Callithrix jacchus: one gene and its partners. The protein of the gene in region 6 interacts with the protein of the main gene of each other region in a pairwise test. Links are inferred from orthologs where the notes say so. Each region holds a gene or a part of one and is shown on either strand. Other genes may lie near its edges. The genes, in order: PRICKLE1, TSGA10, PNMA1, MIPOL1, CDCA7L, PRPF31 and STX11.

Evidence for each region.
Region 1: the proteins of PRPF31 (region 6) and PRICKLE1 interact in binary tests that used the Homo sapiens proteins (3 or more experiments, as listed by UniProt). The two-hybrid records come from large-scale screens. The link is inferred for Callithrix jacchus from reciprocal best matches to the Homo sapiens genes PRPF31 and PRICKLE1.
Region 2: the proteins of PRPF31 (region 6) and TSGA10 interact in binary tests that used the Homo sapiens proteins (3 or more experiments, as listed by UniProt). The two-hybrid records come from large-scale screens. The link is inferred for Callithrix jacchus from reciprocal best matches to the Homo sapiens genes PRPF31 and TSGA10.
Region 3: the proteins of PRPF31 (region 6) and PNMA1 interact in binary tests that used the Homo sapiens proteins (3 or more experiments, as listed by UniProt). The two-hybrid records come from large-scale screens. The link is inferred for Callithrix jacchus from reciprocal best matches to the Homo sapiens genes PRPF31 and PNMA1.
Region 4: the proteins of PRPF31 (region 6) and MIPOL1 interact in binary tests that used the Homo sapiens proteins (3 or more experiments, as listed by UniProt). The two-hybrid records come from large-scale screens. The link is inferred for Callithrix jacchus from reciprocal best matches to the Homo sapiens genes PRPF31 and MIPOL1.
Region 5: the proteins of PRPF31 (region 6) and CDCA7L interact in binary tests that used the Homo sapiens proteins (3 or more experiments, as listed by UniProt). The two-hybrid records come from large-scale screens. The link is inferred for Callithrix jacchus from reciprocal best matches to the Homo sapiens genes PRPF31 and CDCA7L.
Region 7: the proteins of PRPF31 (region 6) and STX11 interact in binary tests that used the Homo sapiens proteins (3 or more experiments, as listed by UniProt). The two-hybrid records come from large-scale screens. The link is inferred for Callithrix jacchus from reciprocal best matches to the Homo sapiens genes PRPF31 and STX11.

The regions. Positions count from the first base shown.
Region 1 is NC_133510.1:33,196,178-33,199,677, forward strand, and holds part of PRICKLE1 (prickle-like protein 1), read left to right. Parts: intron 1-653; coding exon 654-1,517; intron 1,518-3,500. UniProt on the Homo sapiens protein: Involved in the planar cell polarity pathway that controls convergent extension during gastrulation and neural tube closure.
Region 2 is NC_133515.1:8,703,315-8,707,274, reverse strand, and holds the start of TSGA10 (testis-specific gene 10 protein), read left to right. Parts: upstream 1-1,160; 5' UTR 1,161-1,170; coding exon 1,171-1,227; exon of another isoform or gene 1,228-1,279; intron 1,280-3,960. UniProt on the Homo sapiens protein: Plays a role in spermatogenesis. When overexpressed, prevents nuclear localization of HIF1A.
Region 3 is NC_133509.1:108,629,448-108,633,402, forward strand, and holds PNMA1 (paraneoplastic antigen Ma1), read right to left. Parts: upstream 2,801-3,955; 5' UTR 2,082-2,800; coding exon 1,020-2,081; 3' UTR 250-1,019; downstream 1-249.
Region 4 is NC_133509.1:71,918,496-71,921,995, reverse strand, and holds part of MIPOL1 (mirror-image polydactyly gene 1 protein), read right to left. Parts: intron 2,644-3,500; exon of another isoform or gene 2,571-2,643; intron 957-2,570; coding exon 725-956; intron 1-724.
Region 5 is NC_133512.1:36,210,665-36,214,744, reverse strand, and holds the start of CDCA7L (cell division cycle-associated 7-like protein), read right to left. Parts: upstream 2,801-4,080; 5' UTR 2,691-2,800; coding exon 2,667-2,690; intron 1-2,666. UniProt on the Homo sapiens protein: Plays a role in transcriptional regulation as a repressor that inhibits monoamine oxidase A (MAOA) activity and gene expression by binding to the promoter.
Region 6 is NC_133523.1:47,313,922-47,316,107, reverse strand, and holds the end of PRPF31 (U4/U6 small nuclear ribonucleoprotein Prp31), read right to left. Parts: intron 920-2,186; coding exon 794-919; 3' UTR 501-793; downstream 1-500. UniProt on the Homo sapiens protein: Involved in pre-mRNA splicing as component of the spliceosome. Required for the assembly of the U4/U5/U6 tri-snRNP complex, one of the building blocks of the spliceosome.
Region 7 is NC_133505.1:150,902,368-150,906,417, reverse strand, and holds the start of STX11 (syntaxin-11), read right to left. Parts: upstream 2,801-4,050; 5' UTR 2,595-2,800; intron 1-2,594. UniProt on the Homo sapiens protein: SNARE that acts to regulate protein transport between late endosomes and the trans-Golgi network.

The DNA of each region.
Region 1 (3,500 bases), on a different chromosome or scaffold from region 6:
AACTCATCAGTACATAACCTTGCGTCACGTGTGTTTTTCCTTAAAGCTACCTCCTTATTGAATACACATTGTTGATGCATTAAGACTGAACTCATAGCCAGTAGTAGTGTACTCAAGATTAGGAGCTTATCTAATTAGATGTCTTTCCTCCATAAGGCACATCACAGCCTTCTTGTACTTTGGAATACGACGGCATTTCAGCATTATACTTGGGGGTCATTTTAAGCAGGAAACTCACCAACAAAAAGCACAAAAATGCAGAAAACACGGCAGTAAATAGACCAGGAATAGGATACTTGTCTACAATATGAGAGCCGAAACAAAAGGCAGAGCATCTCTTGGATTGATGCGTGTTGGTTCAATTCATGTTTTTACCACTCTGCACATCTGCAAATGACCATGAAAGTGTTGCAAATATCAGTTTTGGGGTTATGAATAAATTTTAATAAGTAGGCAAATTCACAAATACAGAATCCACAAAGAATTCGGATTAATTTTATGTGTCACCCACACCCCTCTCAAGATACAGACATTTCCATTACCCTTGAGAGCTCCCCCATGCCCATAATCTTTATTTTTTTTCATTTCCTCCTTATTTCTTGTTTCAGGCAATAAACTATAACCTGTTACTTATTCTATCCTTTTCAAAACAGGTGTGGACCACGCACAGATGACCTATGACGGGCAGCACTGGCATGCCACGGAAGCATGCTTTTCCTGTGCCCAGTGTAAAGCTTCTTTGTTGGGATGTCCCTTCCTTCCCAAACAGGGTCAGATTTACTGTTCAAAAACATGCAGTCTCGGTGAAGACGTCCATGCCTCTGATTCTTCCGACTCTGCATTTCAGTCAGCTCGATCAAGAGATTCCCGAAGAAGTGTCCGAATGGGCAAGAGCAGTCGGTCAGCAGATCAGTGTAGACAGTCTCTTCTCTTATCCCCTGCTCTGAACTACAAGTTTCCTGGCCTCTCAGGCAATGCTGATGACACCCTTTCTCGAAAATTGGATGATCTGAGTCTCTCCAGGCAAGGAACAAGTTTTGCCAGTGAAGAATTTTGGAAAGGCAGAGTAGAACATGAAACTCCAGAAGACCCTGAAGAATGGGCTGACCATGAAGATTATATGACACAGCTCCTCCTCAAGTTTGGTGATAAAAGCCTCTTTCAGCCACAGCCCAATGAGATGGATATTCGAGCCAATGAGCATTGGATATCTGATAACGTGGTTAAAAATAAGACTGAGTTAAAGCAAAATAACCAGAGCCTTGCAAGTAAAAAATACCAGTCTGATATGTACTGGGCACAATCACAAGATGGACTGGGTGATTCTGCTTATGGCAGCCACCCGGGCCCTGCAAGCAGTAGAAGGCTCCAGGAACTGGATCTGGACCATGGGGCTTCAGGGTATAATCACAATGAAACACAGTGGTATGAAGATTCCCTGGAGTGTCTGTCAGACCTGAAACCAGAGCAAAGTGTTCGGGATTCGATGGATTCTTTGGCATTGTCCAATATCACAGGTATGTAATCTGGGGATTATGGAGTATTTGAAAAAAGGAGCTGCTACAAAGTGTGTTCAAAAAATTGCAATTCCAGCTGGATATGGTGGCTCACACCTGTAGTCTCAGCACTTTGGGAGGCTGAGGTGGGCAGATCACCTGGGGTCAGGAGTTTGAGACCAGCCTAGCCGACATGGTGAAACCCTATCTCTACTAAAAATACAAAAATTAGCTGGGCGTGGTGGCGGGTGCCTGTAATCCCAGCTACTCGGGAAGCTGAGGCAGGAGAATCATTTGAACCCAGGTGCAGAGATTGTAGTGAGCAGAGATTGCTCCACTGCAGTCCAGCCTGGGTGACGAGTGAGATTCCATCTCAAAAAAAAAAAAATTGCAATTCAGCATGAGTAGGAATTGTATGTTATTGAAAACCATGGATCAAGGGAAGGAAGGAATTTCACTTAAATACCAAACACTAGCAAAACAAACGTGTACAGGTGAGTGCATATGCATAAAATATATTTACAGTACGGTCTTTAGGGACAGGTTTTATTATCCCTGTTTTGAAGAGAAGGAAATTGATTGGATGAAGGCGTCTACAACTGGATTGTGTCTGAAAGATATTGTATACTTGGATTATGCTGTATGGATTTCAAGATACCAAAATTGGCCGTAACACTTTACAAGCTCATATTTTAACATCTTCCTGTATTGTCCTGTGACAGCAGCTCAAAATAGCTGAATACTTTTTATTTAGATTATAAAATAATTACTTTTTTTTTTTCGAGACAGAGTTTCACTCTTGTCGCCCAGGCAGGAGTGCAGTGGTGTGATCTCAGCTCACTGTAACCTCGGCCTCCCAGGTTCTGGGTTCAAGTGATTCTCCTGCCTCAGCCTTATGAGTAGCTGGGATTACAGGCGCCTGCCACCATACCCAGCTAATTTTCGTGAGACAGGCTGGTCTCTAACTACTCACCTCAGGTGATCCACCTGCCTCAGCCTCCCAAAGTGCTAGGATTACAGGTGTGAGCCACTGCCCCTGGCCTACTTTAATGTTTTCAAAATACAGTCATATCAATCATCCACATTTTATCTTTAAAATGACCCTGAGCTGTATAGAGTGGATGATACAACTGCATTTTACAAATGAGGAAACTTGAATTACCAAAAGGCTAAATGCCCAACCTTACATAGGTTCTAAAGGCAAGATTGGACCTAGAACCCAGGAGATTATGAAACTTATTCCCAGCAAGTCTTTGGATTATAGAAATGTTTCTGTTGCATGGCTGGTTTTATAGTCAAACTACTGATGTCCAGCCCTTTCATGAAGGTAATTTTTCTTTAATGTAGACAGGAAAGGCTTAGTAGCTGCCTCCTGCCAGGAGTGACTTGTGCAGACACTGCAGTGACAAGGAGGGGTAAGATAAAGCTGCTACCTGCCCCCGCCCCTGGCTTCTGCGGACTTGTCAAAGATAAGGACTACAATAAAGGGGAGTTGAGGAAGAATGATGGGTGAGACTCTCTGCCAGGCCTAGTGCCAAGAGTTTTAAATTTAATATTAGAAATAGACATAATTTGGCCAGGTGCAGTGGCTCACACCTGCAGTCCCAGCACTTTGGGAAGCCAAAGTGGGTGGATCACCTAAGGTCAGGAGTTTGAGACCAGCCTGGCCAACATGGTAAAACCCAGTCTCTACTAAAAATACAAAAAATAGCTAGGCATGGTGGCACCTGCCTATAATTTCAGCTACTCTGGAGGCTGAGGCAGGAGAATCACTTGAACCTGGGAGGCAGGGGTCGCAGTGACCCAAGATCACACCATTGCATTTCAGCCTAGGCGACGGAGCAAGACTCTGTCTCAAATAAGAAAAGAAACATAATTTGGCCCTGACATTCCTTGACAATAATGAGCTGAAAAATAGGCTCCCCTTAAAAAGTAGGAAGTTATATAGTCTCCAGTTGACAAACATTCACACCACTCCCTTTGTCATTTACAGTCTGTTAGGCT
Region 2 (3,960 bases), on a different chromosome or scaffold from region 6:
TGAAATACACAGCGTTCTACCATATCAAGGTCATCAGAGAATTGCTGTAAAAACCCAGTATCTACGTCATCTGTAGGAAAAGGTGATAAAGTCACCATTATCATCCAAAAACTCTTGGGTTATTTAAGAAGGGATATGGTAGATATTAAGAAGACTTTTTCCATGCTGGGCTCCAAAAAAATGGTAGAATGCAGCCCTCATTCTTTTTCACCAAAAAGCTCATTTGTCCACTTTAAGGTAAGGGAATTTGGAAAAGGACTGGCATGTGGAAAAGGAATATCGGTCAGGAATCTGGACTTTCTTTGCTAGTTCTGCCACTTTCTGATTCAGCCCAGATCGAGCAGAGCTGACTGAGACGGTGGTCCCCAGGCTCCCCTAATTGCAGTCTGCCCGTGCTCACCCGGACAGGTTGGCTTGCTACCAGCAGGCTGCAGCGGGAGGACTGGACCTGGAAGGCTCCCTCAAAATGGGCCCTGGCTGCAACTCTGGGAGTAACCGGTTCACTGAACGTGAGTCCAGAATGACGTCCAAGCCCTGAGAAAAGTGGCACAAAGCCACCGCCGCGAAGGTGTTCCAAGCTGCAGGTAGGAGGCGCGGCGACAGACAGCCTTGCGCATGCGCGTTTTATACACGTGCGGCCGCCACGAGCAGGAAATAAAAAATGAATCTTGGAAAAGGGGGCTCGCGGCTGGTTACTAGGAGACGGAACGCTCGGGTCGGGCGTCTAGGCGCTGCGTGGGCGTGCGCCTGCGCGGCGCGAACAGGCCAAGAAGAAGCCCCTCCAAGGCGCCTTGTAAGGCAGGCAGGTGGAAGTACGCGTCGCTCTGTGCGTAGGTGCGCGCACACGGCTTGTAGCCAGCGCGAGAGGGAAGGTCGAGCCAGGTACGCGTGCGCACGGAGCCTAGGGGCGCGTGGGACGGAAGCAAAGCTGGGGCGCCGGGGAGGTAGAAGACGAGCCCCACTCGGTACAGATCGTGAGGGCGGGGCCACGGCGGCGCCGGATGGCGCTAACCGCCCCCGCCTCCTTCGCGCAGGCTCCCTCTTTCCTCCGACTCCGCTGGGGCGGGGCCAGGACGATTTGGGGGTGGGAAGGGAGGAAAAAGGGGCGGAGGATGGAGATGGGGCGGTTCTCGTATCCCCGGCGGAGGCCGAGAGGTGGCAGTCGCGGGGATGAGCTCTGGGGAGGACATCGGGCCAAGGAGCTCGGGGAGGGACCCGGAGCTCCAGGTAGAAGCTGCGGAGATACGCAGGGTGGGGAGAGCTGCTCCTGCTCCGGAAGGTCTCCGAAAAGCCAGCTGCAAGCGGGCGGGAGTGGCGGGTGGTGGGCCGTGGCGGGAGGAGGTGGGCAGGAGCCGGGGGAGCCGCTGTGAGGGGCGGCAGCGGGCACTGCTGCGGGCCGGAAGCTCAGCAGCACGCGTTGTCCCTGTTTCTTGGGAAGTTAGGCTGAAGCCCAGTTCCTATGGTCACCGCTTTGCGTCCTGCCGCAGCTTTCCGCTTGATTGTTGGGGGTACTGTTTTATTTAGAAACGCTCTGGTGGAGCGAGGAATTTGGAAGTCATAGATTTGGGAGTCAAACCTGACTCCCAATCGCTCACTTCTGAGCCTATTTCTAGACTTGGGGTGGTAAAAGACCGAGATTACGTAGGCATTTGCATGGAAATCTCAGATAAATTTCAGCAAGAGTTGTACACAGTAAAGGCAGGGAAAGCTGGCTTTTGTTGAAAACATATTTGAGACTTAAATTGAATAACTAGATGATCATGGACTTGATACCTAAAAACTCACAGAAATAAGTACATTTTTTCACATTTTTTTCCCGAGGCTTCAGGAAAGTTTGCATAGATGACAGTGTCCCAGCGTTTTCCTTCTTCCATTCCAGTCCCTTTTATCCTAGGAAATTTCCTTGTTTAAAATGTTCTCTACTGGTTTTCAGCATTTCAAATATGCTTTGTTTACGTGTGAGGACATAAATAGAATAACAATCGGTTTGTAAGTAGGAAAAAAACAGGTTAGCTATAAATATGTAAGTAGAATGCCTCTTTCGAATCTGCCTCCAGGATAAAACAAATTCTTGTTTGTATTTTAATTGATTAATTAGCCAAACTCTTCAGTCTTAATTAGTGATAACTAGGAAGGTATATTAATGAAATATTAATTTTAAATAATAAACTTCGGCATTATTTAATGGCAGCTTCCAAAATATTTCACGCATTGTTTACCTTCTGAAGAAAAATCACTGCTTGTAGCCCAGAATATAATCAGGTGTAGAGATTCACTGGGGGCTCTTTTCTGTCTTCTTTTTCAGTTGCTTAGACTAGTTTGTTTAGGACAATTTGGTTTTGAAGTCCTCCGTACACCGAGGCAGTTAGAGGTATTACTGTATATCACCTTTTCAGATTACATGTTCCTTTCTCTCCCCAGAGATAGCCACTTCCTTGATTTTCCTTAATGTTTCACATCATTGTATGTGAACATGCACATTATAGTTTGGCTTGTTTTTGAACTTCCTCTAAATAGAATTTGTACTAAGTATTCATTTACATCTTGCTTCTTTACTCAACATTTTGTTAAGGTTAATCTTTATTGCTGCTTGCAGTATTTAGTTTGCTGATTGTTTCCCAAAATATCTCACTCTGTTGCCCAGGCTGGAGTGCAGTGGTGCGATTATGATTCACTGCAACCTTGATCTCCTGGGCTCAAGTTATTCTCCTACCTCAGCCTCCCAAGTAGCTGGGACCACAGGCGGGTGCCACCAGGCCTGGCTAATTTCATTTTCATTTTTTGTGGAGACAGGGACTCACTATGTTGTCCAGGCTGGTCTCAAATTCCTGGGCTCAAGTGATTCTCTGGCCTTGGCCTCCCAAGGTGCTGAGATTATTGAGATTACGAGTGTCTAAATCTTCATGTATCCTTGCTTTTTCTTGTCTCAGGGCAATACATCTTTAATTCTGAAAGAGGATCCTTATGTAAAGAGATTTAAGGAGCAAGTTTTTCTCCTTTTGTAATGACCTTTCCGTAACCTTGGTCGTCTTCCACCTTTTGCTATACCTGTCTTCCTCTCACAATCATGCTTCCTAAAAGAAGTTTACATTTATTAATAAATTAGTCCTCTTCAGACTTGTTTTCACCCATCATTGAAACTGCTTTGTTTGAATCATTAAAATTTATTTTGGAAATGTTTTACTGAGTTTCAACTTTGTGCTGGGCACTTTTAAAGCAATAGGGATATAACAAAAGACAAAAAGCCTAGGGCTCTTGAATTTTATATGCCAGTAGGGGGAGCCAGACAGTAAACAAGTGAGCAAATAAATGATATCATTTCAAGAAGTGATAAGTGCAAATAGCTTATCACTTATTTGAGAGAGTGACTGGGATAGAGGCTACTTTAGGTAAGAAGTCAGGGAAGACCTGACATTTCAGCCAAAGAGTTGAAGATAGCCATGTGAAGGGCTGGGTAAAAAGGGTTCCTGAGAGAGGGAAAGCAAGAGCAGGGGACTTGAAGTCGAATGCTATTGGCACATATCTTAGTCCATTCAGGGTGCTATAGTGAAATATATAAGCAACATTAATTTAATTCTTATAGTTCTGAAGACTAGGAATTCTAAAGTAAGTTGCCAGTAGAATCAGTGTCTGGTGAGGGCCTGTGTTTTTGTTCATAGATGATACTTTCAGACTGTGTCCTCATACATTAGAAGGGGTGAGGAAGCTTTCTGGGTACTATAATATACGGGCAACTCATCATGACCTAATCACCTTCTAAAGACTATGCCTCTGTTTTTTTTTTTTGGGGGGGGGCGGGGATGGAGTTTCACTCTGTCTCCCAGGCTGGAGTGCAGTGGCGTGATCTCGGCTCGCTGCAACCTTTGCCTCCTGGGCTCAAGCTGTTCTCCTGTCTCAGCCTTCCAAGTAGCTGGGATTATAGGCCCACCACCGTGCCCAGCTAATTTTTGTATTTTTAGT
Region 3 (3,955 bases), on a different chromosome or scaffold from region 6:
TGGGAGTACTGAGTGGGAGATGGCAGTGAATGTGTAGAGCGTAGGAGGTGGGTGAGTGTGCACCTGATGCTGGTGGGAATGGAGGGGAAAGCTCTGTGAATGATGGGTAGTGGGTGAAGACATGCTGAGTGTCTGTGGTAAGTAAAACATATGGTTTGAGTTAATGACAGTCTTCATAAGAAAAATGGACAGAGTTTACTTAGGCTAAAGATGTTTGTACATGCCAGCAAAAGGAGAAGACAACAGAAATCGAAAAACATTTTTATTTCTGTATGTAACTTCAAATTTAGAACACTCAGAATTAGTATGAACAAGAACTATTTTCTGACAAAGATTTGAAATTGGGGAAGTGAATTACTCTAACAGGTGCACATCAACCTCTCCATGCAATTTACATCTGTATCTTATGCAGTGAAAAATGGGTTACACAGCTCCGTAACTGCAGTTTTTAACATCCCATTTTGCAGTATCAGAATACTTTTCAATTAAACTGATCCACATGTTTAAAGATGAGAAATAGTACGTTTACATTGTAAGGTTGAGTCATAATAAATGCACATTCCCTTCCATTAATAAAATCTGGAACAAGTTATGGTAGACAGAAAACTATCCACAATATCAGTAATCTAACAGTTCACACTTTTACTGAACACTTCCTGTGAGCCAGGCCCCGCAGTAAACATCTGAACATGCAATTTCACATTCAACGTGGAATAGAAGTGTCACAGGTTCACACGTTTTTCACAACTGATTATGATGGCCATGATGACCGCGTGCACTAAGCTCTGTGTCCAACCAGGTAAACGGCATTGTAGCCAGCAAGATCCGCTAGCAGCTCACAGTGCTTGCGTGCACAATTTTAGAATGTTACATGAATACTCAGGCCTGACAAATCCTGCCCTCCAAAAACAAATGTAACAGGACTAAGCCTTTACTACTCAGACACATCTGTAAGACCCCACAGGGACAAGGACAGTAGCTGTGATCTGGGTCTGCACTAAAGCTGCCTTTCCTGGGACTCAGAAGTGCCCTTCCAGGCCTAACTGCAGAAGGGTGGCCTCAGCCTCCTCCTCCTCTTCCTTGGCTTCCTCCTCACGGATCTGCACCAGCAACTCAAAGAGGTTTGGGGCCGGCCCTTCCCCAGCCCCGTTAAGCCACAGCTGCCTTCGGATGGCCCCGCTTTGGTTGGCCCCGGCAATGACCTGCTCTAGACGAGCCTGGTTCACATTATCTTTATCAATGGCCCCCTTCTCCACCACCTTCTGTAGCAGAGGCTCCAAACGAATGACATAAGCAGACAACTTTTCTCCCGGGTTCTGGTAAGTGTTCAGAAATTTGACCTGGGCATCCCTAGAGCTCTCAACGCTCCCAAACACCTGCTCAAGCGCCTGCAGGCATTCGGCAGTAGTTATCGCGGGGTTGTTGGTCTTGAGGATGCGAATGACATCAGCGGCGGGGCCTCTAAGACTCTCCATCAACCGCCGCCTCTTTTCTGCATCTGGCACCTGCCACTCCTCTAGGACCTCATTAGTGTGCTCCAGCCAAGGATCAAAGGTTTCCTCTCCAGGCCCTGGGATGTCCCTCCCCGAGAAAAGTGTCAGCTTCTTGTACCATATGGACTCAACAAGAGGTTGAATAACATTATCCAAAATATAGTTTAGCATCTCTGCTGGCATCTCTGGGACCGGGGTCGGAGTAGGGTTCTGAAACCCAAGGACACGGGCAACATCCTGCACGGTCCAGCCCTCTCTAGCTAGGAAGAGGTGCAATCTTTCTAAAAATTCAGCATCGGAAGTCGGGGGCTTAAAGAACACTTTCCAGACTCCTCCTTTGCCCGGCAACTCCCTGGGGATCGTGGCGTAATCGACAGCGCCAGTGAGCTCTAATAAGGCTGCTTTCGCATTTTCTTCCCTCCAGAACATTCTCCCAAGCACTCGGTAGGGCACCTGGGGCATCGCAGCCTGGAGGGTCTCTTCGATTTCAGCCTCATCACAGTTCACTGGGATGCCCCAGACCAACAGAGCTCTCTGGGAGTTCACATCCATTCCCCTGCACCAGTCTTCCAACAGTATCATCGCCATTTTGTCAACTATCAAGACGCTAATTCTACCAACAGACAGTGGCTCACCTTGCTCCTGGCCTTAGAACAACGCCAGACACTCCCCCCAAGTAGGCCCAAGGGAGGCGAGTTTCACGCAGTCACGATTAACAAAGACACAGAGTCCTGACCTCGCCCTTCCCTGCCCCCACAGTCAGTCAGTGGACGCACTTGGAGACGAGCTCGGAAACGCTGAGGCAGTCACGCAGCCGTCGCCATCTTGCGTCTGGGTCCGGGTCCGGGTCCGGGTCCGCTGCCAGCAGCCGAGGCGTCGCGTCGTCGTGGAGCGGGCAAGGAGCGAAGGCGGGCGGCGAAGGCAGGCGCGATGGGCCGAGAACCGCCGAGGTGTGGTCGTCGGGCGCTCGCGGCGGCTCCCAGAGAGGATCTGGCGTTCGCGGTCGCAGCCCGGTCTTCCGAGGGCGAGGAGAGGTCGTTTGGGAGACCCGGCACAGGCAGACTGTGCCGAAGTCGCGGCGGCTGCGGGCCAGCTGAGAGCGGCTTCTTGGCAGGAGCAGGGACTCTTCCGGGAGGGTGGCGAGGACCGCCGAGGACCAGAAACGAAGGCAACAGAGGAGCAGGAGAGCTGGCGAAGCTGGGCTGGAGACAGCAGAAGAGAGGATGAGCAGCGGCGGCCGCAACGATCTGCACTGCGCTGCTACCCAGACGTAGTGTCCTACCCGCAACCTGCGGCGATGTTACTGCAGCAGTGAAGGGTGGGGCCAGCCCGTGAGCGGCGTCTGCCCCACTCCGTCACGCCCCCGCGGCGGAGCCGCTCGGGTGTCGCCATGGCAACGGCTTCTCAGCCTGCACGAGACTCGTCTGCTCTGGCGGCCCACCGCGGGCGGGGGAGTGGGGGTGGGGCGGAGTCCAGCGGTTACCATGGTGCCCCGGGCACCTGTTTCTCTGATGGCGTAATTTTCTTCTTCTTTTTTTTTTTTTAAACAGAGAACAAAGACTGCTAAGCACCGTATTTTAAAAATAACCCAATCCTGGAGTGGACTTAAGATGATATTGTTGGAAATGCATCCCTCATGGTGGACTCATCTCAGATTGCTCAGCCAGTCCACCCTGCACGTGAGAATATCCTCAGAACCGTAGCTTCCCTGTTCCCCCAACCACACTCTGCACCCTGCATATTTCATCCCAACGCAGCCAAAATGTCGGCGTGTGCCATTTACGTATATTTTTGTAAGATACGGAGTTGCCTTTTTCTTGTCTAAAATTTTGTAAAAAAGATGTTTGTCTATGTCTACTCAGTCATCTTTTAGCCAGGTAAACATTAATATGTTATTTCCCTTTTCCTGGCTGGCATCATTGACAATAGGCTGCTAAAAGAGAATCCGTATGGTTCGAAAATGTTGAGTAATCTTTGTGCAAGCAAGACAAGACCCACTTACATCAATCCCAGATGGTGAAAATCCCAGAGAACACAGCATGCAACTCTGAATTTTTAAAACCTTATTTAATAAAAGGTTTAAAGATACAGAAGAACATTCAAAAGTAAATAAGTTACATAGGTACATTACAATCACATCAGCAAGATTCTTTAGTGTATTAATTTTTTTCTTATAAAAAGCACACAAAAAATAAAATCTTCAGTCTCTATCACAACTGTACAGCAAAAGAGGTAATATTTATATATATATGTACACTATTTTAATATGTAACAGTCTTTTTAAAAAAGGGTGCCACAGGCAGCAAACACAAAAAAGGCAGTGTCTGATCATTTGTTTCAAAATAAAAGGAATATACTTATTTATATGCTATTAAAATATTTGTACAATAATTACAGACTGTCAAGGCTGTTCCTGTGCTGTCCCTTCCAACAAGGCCTTCAACTTAGAGACAAATGAGGAA
Region 4 (3,500 bases), on a different chromosome or scaffold from region 6:
CGAAAAACAGTGCTAACCCAAACCAAAATGCATGTTTGGGCTTACCTTATCCTAGAGCTGCCAGCTTTTTACTTTCATGAATGATATTTCATGTATATCAATTTAACAGTTATTTTCAAATATATAATAAAACATCACAGAAAATAATATTGAACAAGATAGAATTAAATCTCACTGCCTTTCGTTAGATGCACGTTGTGCTTTTTCACTTAGTTAACTAGACATATTATATCCATATCACAGAAACAGTAGAAAACCCTGGTAGATCCCCCAAATTCTAATGAGTTTAGAATTAGTCAACTCCAAAAAGAATGAAAGAAGGAAAGAAGAAAAAAGGGAAGAAAGGAGAAAGGAAGAAAAAGTTCTTCTACTTTCCACTCTCTCTCTCTCTTTTTTTTTTTCTTGAGACAATCTTGCTCTGTCACCCAGGCTGGAGTGCAGTGGCATAATCTCAGCTAACTGCAACCTCCGCCTCCTAGGTTCAAGTGATTCTCATGACTCAGCCTCCTGAGTAGCTGGGATTCCAGGCATGTGCCACCACACCTGGCTGATACTTGTATTTTCAGTAGAGACAGGGTTTCACCATGTTGGCCAGGCTGGTCTCAAACTCCTGACCTCAAGTGACCCGCCCGCCTTGGCCTCCCAAACTGCTGTCATTACAGGCAAGAGCCACCACGCCCAGCCCCCATTCCTACTTTCTAAATCTAAGGCTGTGAGCACTTACTTGGATTTTTCAGTAGTACAGTAAACAGACTCATCATCTGGGTAAGAACTGATGATCTGAAAATTCCTTGATCTCTGCTCTGACCATTTTGTGTTCTCATAACTTATTTCATTAACTAATTCAGTGGATTTCTGATGCATATTTTCCTCAGAACTCACAGTCAGTTGCTCATCTGGCTGTGTACTTTTATTTATCCTTTTAGTTTCTTGTTCAAGATAACTGTGGGTTATATCTGTATTTAAACAAACAAACAAAATAACACATGATATATCAAACACTGTAACTATTTATTGATATTAAATCAATCAAATAAATATTTTTGGAAATACTCTCATAGCTTTAAAGATATAATTTCTAGTCTTATTTCTACTGTAATCACATAAGCATATACAGTGTGGTTTTTACCATTGAGACTTCCATTTCCACAGTCAATAGATAACTCTGCATTTTGGAATAACCTAAGGAGATTTCTTTTAAATCCTCAGAGCTTAAAAAATCTCTGGGAGTGAGACCTAGTTTAAATTTCTGAAGATCCCCAAATGATTCCAGCATACGCTCAAGGCTGAGAATCACTGATTTGGGGATATTATTTTCTAGGTGAACTTTTCTAGATTTCTGAAAATAGTATAAAATAATTATTATAGTGAAGAGTTAATATATGTGGAACTCTGGTATTAGACTGCCTGGGTTAGAATTCCAGCTTTGCCAAGTGAATCACTTTGGGCAAGTTACTCTCAGTTTCTTTTCTGTAAAATGGGTATATAATATTTGTTGTTAAGGACTGAGTTAACATACTCAAAATACTTGGCCTAGTGCCTGACACATCAATACATGTTAGTTATTATTTTTGTAATCATCGTCATAATATTAAAATAGACACAATACAAGGGAGAATGATTTCTAACCTTCATCTCTAGGATGTATTATACATCAGAGAAGATACTTTGCAATGCCTATCTCACAAAAATTATCTTAAGCTACTGCTAGTAAATAATGGCTATTTCAAAGGGACAATGTACATGTAATGACAAAGTAAAGTTTTGGGGAGAAAATGACACACAAATACGAACACAAAGCAAACTCATTCACTAGTAAATCAATTCAACAGGCCCCAGTACTGATTGTAACTAGTACTTCCTTATTTAGGGCAGAAATATTTCTTGAACTTTAAAAGGCAGATGAATCTCACCTGATTTTTGGTGGTGCCTTTTTAAATCTGCTAAACTTACAATCGTTGGAGGCACATACGAGTAGTTTTATTTTATTTTACCCTATTTTTTTTTAAGATGGGGTCTTGCTCTGTTGGCCAGGCTGGAATGTGGTGGTATGATTATGGCTCACTGTAGCCTCAACCTCCTGAGCTCAAGCAATCTTCTTGCCTTTGTCTTCCGAATGCCTGGAACTAGAGGAGTATGCCACCTTGCCTGGCTGATTTTTATGTTCTGTAAAGATGGGGTCTTGCTATTTTGCTCAGGCTGAGAGTTGTTTTAGAATTTAAACAAAAGGGGGCACTTATAAATAAAATACCTCTCATAAAAATATTCACTTTTTAAGAAAAAATTATTTGCTTGTATATTTGCTGAAATTAGGTATAGCCAGTTATGAACTCTAGATCTTGGACATTATTCTTATTGCTAGCTAGAAGCTAGATGAGTACATCTGTTTTTGGTAAATTACTCTCTATTTCACTCTGAAGAAATGAATTAGAAGAGAGAATGTCCTATCATAATTATACAGTATAAGAGAGCTGTGAACCTTCAACATTATATTAACTTAAATTTGACAGTTTTAGGAACAGATACATCTGAAGATCACTTGTTCATATTTGACATCTTGAAATTCTTACTTTGTTTGCATTAGATAGTCACCATGCAACTTGTCTGTAATAGGCTGCATTAGCATAATGGAACTCTCAAAATCTGAATGAGAAAAGTTTATAAATGGGCATTAAGGAAAGCCTCTATATCATTAATAGACTATGCTTTCTAACACATATAACACATAACATATAACATTGTAAATAACTCAAATGAAAAACAATCAGAAATAATCACTGAAAGCATTATCAAATAACAAAATTGCCCCTAGGGACATATTTCTTAAAAACTATTAGGCCCCCCACTCTTCTTCAGTTTATGAAGTACCATGTTTCTTCAAAAGGGAAAAGAATGGTCCATGGATCACTGTCAACTATAAAAGCCCCCAGGTCCCCATGACAGCCGCACAACTGCTTCAGACTCTTGTCCAGTGCTTTTCAACCTGTTCAAGACCAAATTTACCATTATCTAAAATTAATTCAGTATATTTTTTACTTTCAGTTTTTTATTCCTAACCTCCTGGTGTTGATCTTATCTCTGCTATTTAAATTCGCTATTTGTTTACTAGTTTTATAGTTCTCTTCCTTCAGCTATAACCTAATGTCAAATTTGTGATCTCCTGAACTCTTGATAAATCACCACTATTTTACTTGTGACCATACTATCTTCTTCAAACTTAGAGCAAATATGGAAGCTTCCCAATAAGAGCTTCCCAATAAGAGGACTCTGTTGATCCTTCCTGGGTCTTAGTAAATATAAGTCCTTGAAGTTTTATTACAATGCATCAATTTCTGACACACTCTAGACTTTCATTCTAAAATTTAATTTTAAATGTTTAATATTTTTTAAGAATCCATACTGTGTGACTTGACTCTATTTCTGGATATTTCTCATTTCGTTCAGTAGTAAAAACTTTTAGATTTCTAATTGAAAAGGCTCATCAGAAATTTGGAGCTTGC
Region 5 (4,080 bases), on a different chromosome or scaffold from region 6:
ACATTCAGTGCCTACCAGTTTCTCTCCGAGGGAGCTGCAGCAAGCTGGGGCTCCAGCAAGCTGCACTGTTGACAGCTCTTAGTAAGGGATCACACCCTTGTCTTTACGAGGTATTTCTGTCATCCTATATAAAAGCACAAAGACACAGTGGTCAGTTAGACAAGACTCCAGACTGTGGGAAGCGTAATCACTGTCACAGAACATCAAAACCAACACACAGGTGGAACGGCAGAAAAGTAGACTCAAAGGTAGTTCAGAGTAAATGCGTGTCTCCTTGTTTGCTTATTACTCATAACATTAGGCCCAAGCTGCTTTGCTGAAACACCGTCTAGCTTTGTGCTTTCCAAGGGATAAAAATTATACTTACTCCAATGTGTGAGATTAAAACCCACTGCACACTGAGCTGAACATTCAGCGTGCAGTAATGCCACTTCAGGCAGTTCATCACACTGCTTTATTCATAAGGCTGGAGGACAGGGTGGAACCACATGAATTTAACATCTTGCTGTGCCTGAAACATTCATTAAGTACTCTTATCTGCAGTCACCTGCTCACCCCATAGAACCACTCTCCACTAATTTAGAGAGTATAATCTGTTCACATTTAAATTACGATGAACAGGAACATTTCCACTGGAAAAAATCATCACACATCTTGATTTCAGCTGCCAATTAGGTCTTTAGAAAAGGAAAAAAAAAAACCCTCATCATCTTACATATAGTAATTTGCCTTAATTGGTGCATAAATGGATCGGATATAATTTGTGGGTAATCCCCACATGAAAAATAGTTTAACATTTTACAACTACCAAAAATTAGCCTCATTATGTAACATTCTGGGACTTCTGAGTTTCCTAAGCATGAATTATGAATATCAGTGGTAGAAGTGAAAAGAACTCTCCAGCCTAACAACAGGTTTCAGGAGTGACACATTCCAGATACGTTTTGTGATGAAATTCACAGGGAGCACAAATCTCCATCTGGAGGGTCTTGTTGTTGTTGTTTTCTGTCCTGCAGCAGCAGAAACTCCTAGAAGATTAGGATGCCGCTGGGTGCAGTGGCTCAGGCCTGTAATCCCAGCACTTTGAGAAGCCAAGGCAAGTGGATCACCTGAGGTTATGAGTTCAAGACCAGCCTGGCCAATATGGTGAAACCCGTGTCTACTAAAAAAAGGAAAAAAAAGCAAAATTAGCCGGGCACGGTGTGGGCGCCTATAATTCCAGTTGCTCAGGAGGCTGAGGCAGGAGAATCGCTTGAACCAGGGAGGCAAAGGTTGCAGTGAGCCGAGATCACACCACTGCACTCCCACTCCAGCCTGGGAAACAAGAGGGAAATTCCATCTCAAAAAAACAAAAAACAAACAAACAAAAGATTAGGATGCCAATACACAATAAAAGCCAGTGGCAAAAAATAAAAAAAAATCGAACCCCGTCTCATTCCCTAGGTTTTACTGTTTGTTTCCCTTGCTTTTAACAGTTTCTCTCACAGGAAGCACTTTACAAATACTCTTTCTCAGAAGCATCAACAAGATTTTTCTCAAACAACCATTTCAAGACGGCTTCAGAAATTACTTAAAGGCCAAAACTACCATTAGGGCCTCGGTCTTTGCCGCCAGACTCGGGCAGGTGACAGCGTCGGACACCTGGCACTCTGCGCCTTCCAACGCTAGGGGCCCCGCCTCCTCTTCTCCCCGGCTAGGCACGCAGGTGGAGGAAAGTAAACACGAGTAGACGGCAAGGTGAAAGTAGTGAATCTCGCGGCTCTCACAAAAACAAGTGGAAAAAGAAAAAAATAAAACTATTCTCGCACAAAGCATCTCTGCGCCCCCACAAGCAGAGGCGTGGCTGCTTCTCTTTTTAAAGATTTTACTTTTAGTTATTTTGAAAAATGTTTTTATTGCTTACCTCTAAGGAAAAAATATATCTCCATTACGATAAGGTAGAGAAAAGCGCTTTGAAGAAGTAAAAAGAGAAAGCTGAAGTCACGTTCACATTCCCACCACTCAGTGAAACCTTTGGGAGAACTTACTCAAGTGTTTGCTAATGAGTTTTAAAGGCTAGTTAGGCCCTTAACGCGTAATTGGGATCCTGCTGTGCCTAAGATTTGGGATCTTGCAGCTTGTCTGACTTGAACAATGTTGCTATTTCCCCCACACGATTCCTTAAAAACGTCTAGAGACGTTCTAGAACACTAAAGTTATTCTTTTTAAACTCCATTATCCAAGTTGGACTGGTCTGGCGATAGACTATCAGAAAAAAAAAAATACAACTTTCTTAAGCTTCCTGATATCTTTGCCAATTCCACGAGAAAGTGTGGGGAGCGGACAAAAAATCCCCTCCCCCGTCACACGAGGGCTGCAAACGCAGGCGCTGCGCCCCGCTAACTCCCCGCCTGCACCCCCGGCAGCCACCCGATACGGAACATAGCGCTACGCTGAGCGCGGCTGTGTGCGGGGGCACCCGGCCTCTCTGGTCCGCGTGGCACAAACGTGACCCACCGCGCACACCTGCAGGGCGCGCCCACTCCGGCACTCACACGGCTGGGCGCGCGGAATCGTCAGCGCCGCAGCCAAGGGCCACGTTTCCAGTCCAAAGCCAGTAAGACCCGGTCGCAAAGGAAAGTCAAGCTGTGGGTGCGTCCACATAACTGCGGGCGCCGAACCCTCACCTGGTAGCGAGTAGCCAACTCCATTCTTCCTAAAGAGGCTCCAGTCTCCTCCAAGCACTCGGCCACGGGAGCCGGGCCTCGCCACGGGCCAGACGCACCGAGAACTCCCCGGGGCCGAGCAGCCAGCACGCTCCGCCCGGAGCTCGGGCGGGACCCGGGAGGGGCGCACTCCGCGCCTGGGACAGGGGGAGCGCGTCGCGCTGCCCGCTCGGCGCCGCGTCGCTGAGCCTCGTGGCTCTTATCACTGTTTCAACTTCGCAGCCACTGAACTTCTTTTCGCAGGCGGCACGAGAGGGGCTGCAGTTGTGAGCGGCAAGACCAGTTGCCAGTGTTAGGGCGCCGGGCTCCCCCCTGCAGCGGAGGGAGGGAGTGGAGCCGTCCGGCGGTGTTTCGCGCGGGAGAAATGAGAGGGGGCTGTCCCGGCGCAGCCTCCAGCTGGCACGCGCGCTCGATACTTGGAAGGGTTTATTCCAGGTCCTGCCCTGGGGCGCAGGATTCTGAGCAACACCTGTCTCTGATCCAGGAAAATATTTTGTGGCGGCTTTGGGGCTTATTTTGTTTTGTTGTTGTAAAGGGGCAGGGTTCTCTTTGGGAGGATTCTGTCTCCTAAAACATTTACTACAGGGTTCCTTTTGCAAAACAAGCAACCCAGGTTTCTTTACCAAAGCCCAGGTGGAGAGCTGCAAACTCTCCTGAAACTTTAGATGGCCATTACACACAGTAGGCCTCCACCCCTACTAGGCAGAGAGTTTGTAGAGGTCAGGAATCCTGACTACTTAAGCAAAATTGACCCGGGCACCTACTGAGCATCAGACACTGGGTTAGGACAAGGAACACAAGGGAGAACAAAAACAGGCCCCTGCTCTGTTGGAGTTTACAGCCTGAGAGCCCGTTACCAACCTAATTGCATTATTCTAAATAAATAAAATAATGATGCAAATAAGTATAGTAATAATGATGATGTACATTTTATAAATTAGATGTATAATTAATTTGATACCATAATGTAATCGTGATGCAAAGAAATGTAACTTTGGAGTGATGATGCTATGAGAAGAAGGCGACTGTTCCATGGAGACAATCTGGCAGAGGTCAGGGAATAGTTCTTAGAGCTCAGGTATGAAGAGTGAGGAATTAAGTGGGTAGAGATTGTAGGAGACTTGAAGTAGAGAGTGGGGAGAATGGTCAATGAAGTGGTGCTGAAATCACAGTTTGCTGGACAGTGTTAAACACCTATTTAGAACTGTGGTCATGGGTTTACAGTAGAGCCTCCTGTATGCATAGGACCTTCTGCAGCCCCCCTCAGCTGCTTGGGATCTGATGTTCATCTTTTCTATATTGAAGGAGTGAATGAAATTTGCCAGACATTTACTCAAGCTTGAAGAGAAAACTTGGGAAAGATTTCCTTCCTTCT
Region 6 (2,186 bases):
TGCGACCCCATCTATAAAAAGTTTCAAAATTAACCAGGAACTGTGGCATGCGTCTGTAATCCCAGCTTGAAACCAGGAGTTTGAGGCCGTAGTGAGCTATGATTACATCACTGTACTCCAGCCTGGGCGACAGAGGCCTCATCTCTAAAAAACACCAGTAACAGGACCCAGTTATTGGGTGCTGACGCGAGCCCTGTGCTAAGTGCTTTCTGCGCGTTCTTTCCAGCCCTGGGTGCCTGGGCGTAGCTGTGGAGGCTCGGAAAGGCGAGGCAACCGGCCTGAGGTGCCAGCGCAACCTTGGTCAGCCTGCGCTGAGATCTTCAGGTGTCGGCTGCCACACCGTCTGCTATCAAAGCGACTGAGGTTCTCCAGGGGGTTGGTGAGAAAGGAACAGGGGAGGGAGTGCGCCCCGGAGGCGAAGCTCTTTTCCCCAAACTCCGAAGCTCTGACTATTCTAGTTGCCCCAGCTGTTTGAAAAATGATCACTCCCCAAGGACAGATCTTGATAATGTGCTTTTTAATTGCACTCTCTTCAAAAAAGTATCTCCTTTCTCAGTTAAAATAAAAAAGACAAGGCATGAAGACCTGCTCTAACCCATCCAGGGCGGTGAGCTCCATCCTGGAGGAGGCCGGGCCAGGCTTCTTCCGAGGCCCCTCCCTGGGCAGTCGAGCACCGGGTGGGCGGCAGGGAAGGCTCTCCCTGCCACAACCCCTAACCCCCATCCCAGCCCTTCAGAAGGCCTGGACTTCAACGTCCCTTCAGTGGGAAGCCACGTTGGGCACACGCTATCATTCAGGTAGACATGAGGCCACTCTTCTCGCCCTTGACCTTGAGGAACTCTGCCATGCTGGAGAAATACTTCTGATTGGCCTCAGCCACCTTCTTCTCCGCGGCCTGTGGGTTCACAATCTCCAGGCCCTAGGCAGGTGAGGGAGAGAGGATGATGTGTTGGGCAAGGAGAAGGCCCCAACTGACACGCCAGAGCCCCCCAGGCCTTTCCCCGTGGTACTCAGGCCTTGGGTGGGCATGGGACAGTTTGCCAGTCCCTGGAGTCGCCCTGCCTTGGAAGATTCTGCCTCAGTGGGTCTGGGGGGAGAGGGTGGGGAGAAACCAGGGCACCTAGGTTTTTAACAAGTTCCCCAGGGGCTGCTAAAAACACCAGTGCCTGAGGACAGCCAATCCTGCTCAGTTTCTGGATGAGGAAACTGAGTCTCTGGGGGATGTGGCTGGCTGGAGGTCCCAGCACAAATCACACCAACACTACTGATGATCACAGTGTCCAGCGATAGACGCCGGCACCTGGCTGGAACTTCCTAAATATTTTCAAGGCCTGGGCAACAGAGCGAGACTCTGTCTCTAAAGAAAATAATAACAGGCTGGGCGCGGTGGCTCAAGCCTGTAATTCCAGCACTTTGGGAGGCCAAGGTGGGTGGATCACAAGGTCAAGAGATCAAGATCATCCTGGCCAACATGGTGAGACCCAGTCCCTAATAAAAATACAAAAATTAGCTGGGTATGGTGGCAGGCGCCTGTAATCCCAGCTACTCAGGAGGCTGAGGCAGGAGAATTGCTTGAATCCAGGAGGCGGAGGTTGCAGTGAGCCAAGATTGCACCACTGCACTCCAGCCTGGCGACAGAGTCAGACTCCGTCTCAAAAAAAAAAAAAAAAAAGAAAGAAAAGAGAAAATAAGCACAGGACCTGTCATCAGGCTCCACCAGCAAGTGCAGGACCAAGTGCCTTCTGTGCACTCCTTTTTCAGAACTGAACACCTCATAACATGGGAGTGGAGGCAGGGAAAGGTGAGGCCCTCCCTGGCTGTGCTAGGACGAAGGCCTCCCTGTCCCACCTCCCACGTCCTTCCCTCCCTGGTATTTCTGCCTTTTACCACACTGGGCATCTTACTGATCTGTCTGTGCCCAGCCACCCACAGGCTCCAGGAAGGCAAGACTTGTCTCTCTCATTCACCGCTTCACCCCCAGAGCCGAGAGCACCGACAGCCGCTGTCTGAGCAGATGAGCTCCCCACTGTCCCACAGCCACGGTGCAGGCTCGCCCTGCTCTGTGGATGGCAAACCGCGGTGCCGATGGTGCGGTGACTGCCGTGCTCCAAGCCACTCACTGCTGACTGGGCTGGGGGCCAGACCCACACGTGACACCCAAGCCCACCTAGCTGGGAACTGTTTCG
Region 7 (4,050 bases), on a different chromosome or scaffold from region 6:
GTCAAACCTGGGCCAAATTCAGGGAGTACAATGCTGAATAATATACTCCACTCTTTCTTCCTCATAGAAAAAGTAACCTTAGGGGTCTCAAAGGAGGAAGAAAGTTTGGAAATTAAGGCCAATTTGTCTCCAATTTAGCATTGTTACCTTTACTAGTTGGGTATCTTAGCAAACTGGGGAAACTTGGAAACCTTGATACTTGGGCATCAAGTCTAAAAGCCTCTCAGCAGATTTCAATTGCAACAGTAAACTGTGATACAGTATGTTTATGCATTTGGGCTCATATGGCTATAACGTGCTAAAAACATTGATTTGAACTGCAAAAACAATGATCAGAAACTTGCCTCAATATAGTGTTATCAATTTATAAACTATTAGGCAGGGCATGGTGGCTCACACCTGCAATCTCAGCGCTTTGGGAGGTCAAGGTGAGCAGCTCACCTGCAGTCAGGAGTTTGAGACCAGCTGGGCCAACAGGACAAAACCTTGACTCTACTAAAAATACAAAAACTAGCCGGTTGTTGTGGTGGGAGCTGGTAGTCCCAGCTACTTGGGAGGCTGAAGGACGAGAATTGCTTGAATGCGGGAGGTGGAGATTCCAGCAAGCCAAGATTGCGCCACTACACTCCAGCCTGGGCAACAGAGTGAGACTCTCTCAAAACAAAACAAAACAAAACAACCTATTAATTAGTCATACTATTTTCTAAAAGTCATGCTGTTAACTAAAGGTGACTGCAATTGTCCAGGGGTGATAATCAGCTGAGTTTAGTTTCACATGGTTATTAAATAGTATGAAATATGGTTCATTCAAATGCTTTAAAAACCATACCTTTCTAATTCATATTTTTTAAATCATGTATCAAATGAAGAATAGGCTGCCTACAAAGACAAGTAAATGAGTCAACTCAAAAGCTTCCTCGCTTTTCCAGCCATGACCCAGTCCATTCCAAATCCCAGATCTGCAGAAACATCAGTCATATTGGGACAGAAACTTCACTCTGGGCATAGATGTACCCTAGCACATATATAATGGATTTTCCAGTGTATTTAAATAAACTATTATTTAGTCACACTATTTCCTAAAAGTCACACTATGAACTAAAGGTGACTGTAATTATCTAGGGGTAGTAACTGGCTGTTTAATTTTTAAATACACTGGGACCCAGCTTACTGAGTTATATTGGGACAGAAACATCCATCTGGGTGTAGATTTACCCTAGCAGCTTGTCAGCAGGATCCTTTTATTCCTAGTTGCACAAGCAAGGTTCAGAGAAGAGGCTGGCACAGAGAAGGTGCCTGGTAACTGTTGTTTGGGGCTGAACTCAGCTCAACTCAGCTCCAGTAGAGATGGTGCTCCCTTTTCTATCATGTTGAGAGCCTGTGCAGACCTTGCCTAAGCGCTGCTACCCACTACAATGGGACCTGTGAGTTTCAACTTTTAAATTTCTCTGCTCCTGCTGGGACCTACCCACTTCAAAAATCGTCGTGTGGTTTTAGCATCAATTTAGTAAATACAAATTGTTAGAAATATTTTGATTTTAGAGAGTTACAGTCACCACATTAAATGATACATTTCTACCATGCAGTGAAAATGAGGACAAAATGGTCACTAGATACTGAAATTAATTTTCCCTTGGGCTTCTGTGGCAAAGCACATGATTTTAATGGTTATCTTAGATCAGCCCAGTGACCTTTACTGGCATGTTGTAACATCAGGCGCCTTAGGAAACTGAAAACTCAAATCATCACTACCCATACCACTGCCCCAGGTTAGCAGGGCAGGCATTTCACATCTAGAGCCTCATTTTAAATACAGACAGAGCAAGCCTCGCTTTTCAAAAAGTTCATTAACAAAGTCTCACAATTAAGAGAGCAGCCGTGTGACTCATTTTTGGATACCCGTAAATAACAACTCCTCCCTTTGCTGAGAAACGGCTGAAACAAGTGCGTGAGAACCACAGGAAGTAATACAGAGCTCAGCTGGTGTCAGAGGAGTCTAGAAAAAGGCAGAATTCCCTCTTGGACAGAGTGGTTCTCGCAGGATTGCCACTACCCTTCCTCTCCATTTTTCTAAAACAAAGTCTTATGTGGGCTTTGAAGGGACTGCTCCAAGGCTCTATCAATTTCTCCGTCTCTCCCGGCTTCTGGGTGACAGTGCCAAGTTCAAGTCAAGAGGTACCCATTCTGGTGTTTTTGACACAGTCACCCTAATAGGAAATGAAGAGGTGATAACAAAGAAACACTTCAGCCTTTCAACTTAAAGGTAGTCTTAGGTGGACGCTTTATAAAGGCAGCCTACCAACGGGTATCCCTAAAATAATTCCTATGAAGCGCTAAATTCTCAGTCCCTTGGCCTCTGAAATTAAAAGTAATTCAAAAAATATCATTCCGCTTTATATGAGAAACCCAGTGCTGTGTTCTCGAAGGTGCCCAGAGGCGGCGTGAGGCCCTGCACCAAAACCCACTAAGGCACCGCCGCGGATCCGGAGCCCAGACAGTGTCCCCGCCCCGGCCCGCCCACCTCCCCGCACTCTCCGCGCACCGGGAATAGGTAGAGAAATGGGGAGCTCAGGGACAGAAAAACAAACCAGTACCCGGAGCGAGAGTTCGAACCGAGAAGCCCCTATCCCGGCCGGGCGCTCGTCCCCCGTGGGCGCCGCGTTGGGGAAGGAAACCTGTTGCGCGACTCCCGGCGGCTCGGCTCCCGGCGCCTCCCGCGTCCCCTGCGGCAGAGGCTGGGCTCCTTCACTGCGGCCCGAGCTCCGCCCCGCCGCGGCCGCATCTGGGCGCCGCCGGCTCTGCCCTAGCCGCTTAGGAAGCGACCACAGCTGGGGACAAGGCCCCGCCCCGGGATGACAGCGCCGGGGCGCGGCGGCTCGCGGAGCGCAGGTTCCCGCCCCGCCCGGAGTCCCTGCGCTCGGGACCGCCCGGAGCCGGGGACGCGCTCCAGCACCTCCCGTACGTCTCGGGGAGTTCCCGCGGGCGGAGCGGACCCTCGCGGGGAGTGGGAGGTTTGCAGCCAGAGGCACTTCCTCTGCTCATCCTCCGGTTCCTAGGGCAGGGAGCGCGGTGGACTTTCCCCGGGAATCCCCGCTGCGCTGATGACATTTGCCGTCCGGTGCGTTTCCGCGGCGAGGACGGTGGAAGCGGTCTCTGAGCGTGGGTGTGGCTGCCGAGGCTGCAGCAGGTCCTGCACCCCCTGGACCTTCCAGGAGGCGGGCAAGGAGCCTGCGGTCACACAGCGGCCGACCACCGCCTTCCCAGAACCCGGCGGCCAACCCCTCTCCAGTCGGCCTCAGGACCCTACGGGCTCATCATTCCCTGGATATTAGCTGAGCGTCCCCTTGTGTGCCCAGGGTACCACCGCTCTCAAAAATACTGCCAAGACCCCCCCTCCAGGTCCTGGCACTTTAATGGGGAGACATAAACAAAGTGTGGATTGTGCCAGGTGGCGGTAAGCACCTTGAAAAACAAAGGTGAGGCTGAAAAGTAAGTGAGATTCAAAAAGGGAAATCGGGCCAGGCGCGGTGACTCGCGCCCATAACCTAGCACTTTGGGAGGCTGAGGTGGGAGGATCGCTTGAGCCCAGGAGTTTGAGACCAGTCTGAACAATATGGTGAAAGCCCATCTCTACAAAAAATACAAAAATTAGCTGAGCATGGTGGCGCGCCTCTGTGGTCCCAGCTACTCGCGACGCTAAGGTGGGAGGATCACTTGAGCCCAGGAGGTCAAGCATGCAGTGAGCCTAGATCCTGCCACTGCACTTCAGCCTGGGCAAAAGAATGAGAAGGAAAAATAAAAATAAAAAACGAATCCTGCCTTGATGGGAGAATGTTTAAACACAGAACTACCTGAAAGAGCTCCCAGTTGCCAAAGATGGAACCATTTGAGCAACGAAGTAAACTAAACAAAGTCTTATTGGATTAAAAGCCAAAGTAAAAAATATCCATGAGTCTACACTCATATAAATAAATAATTGAATAAATAAATAAAAGGCAGAGAGGAGACAAATCTCCTACACAGAATAATTCCAAATAATTTATGTAGATC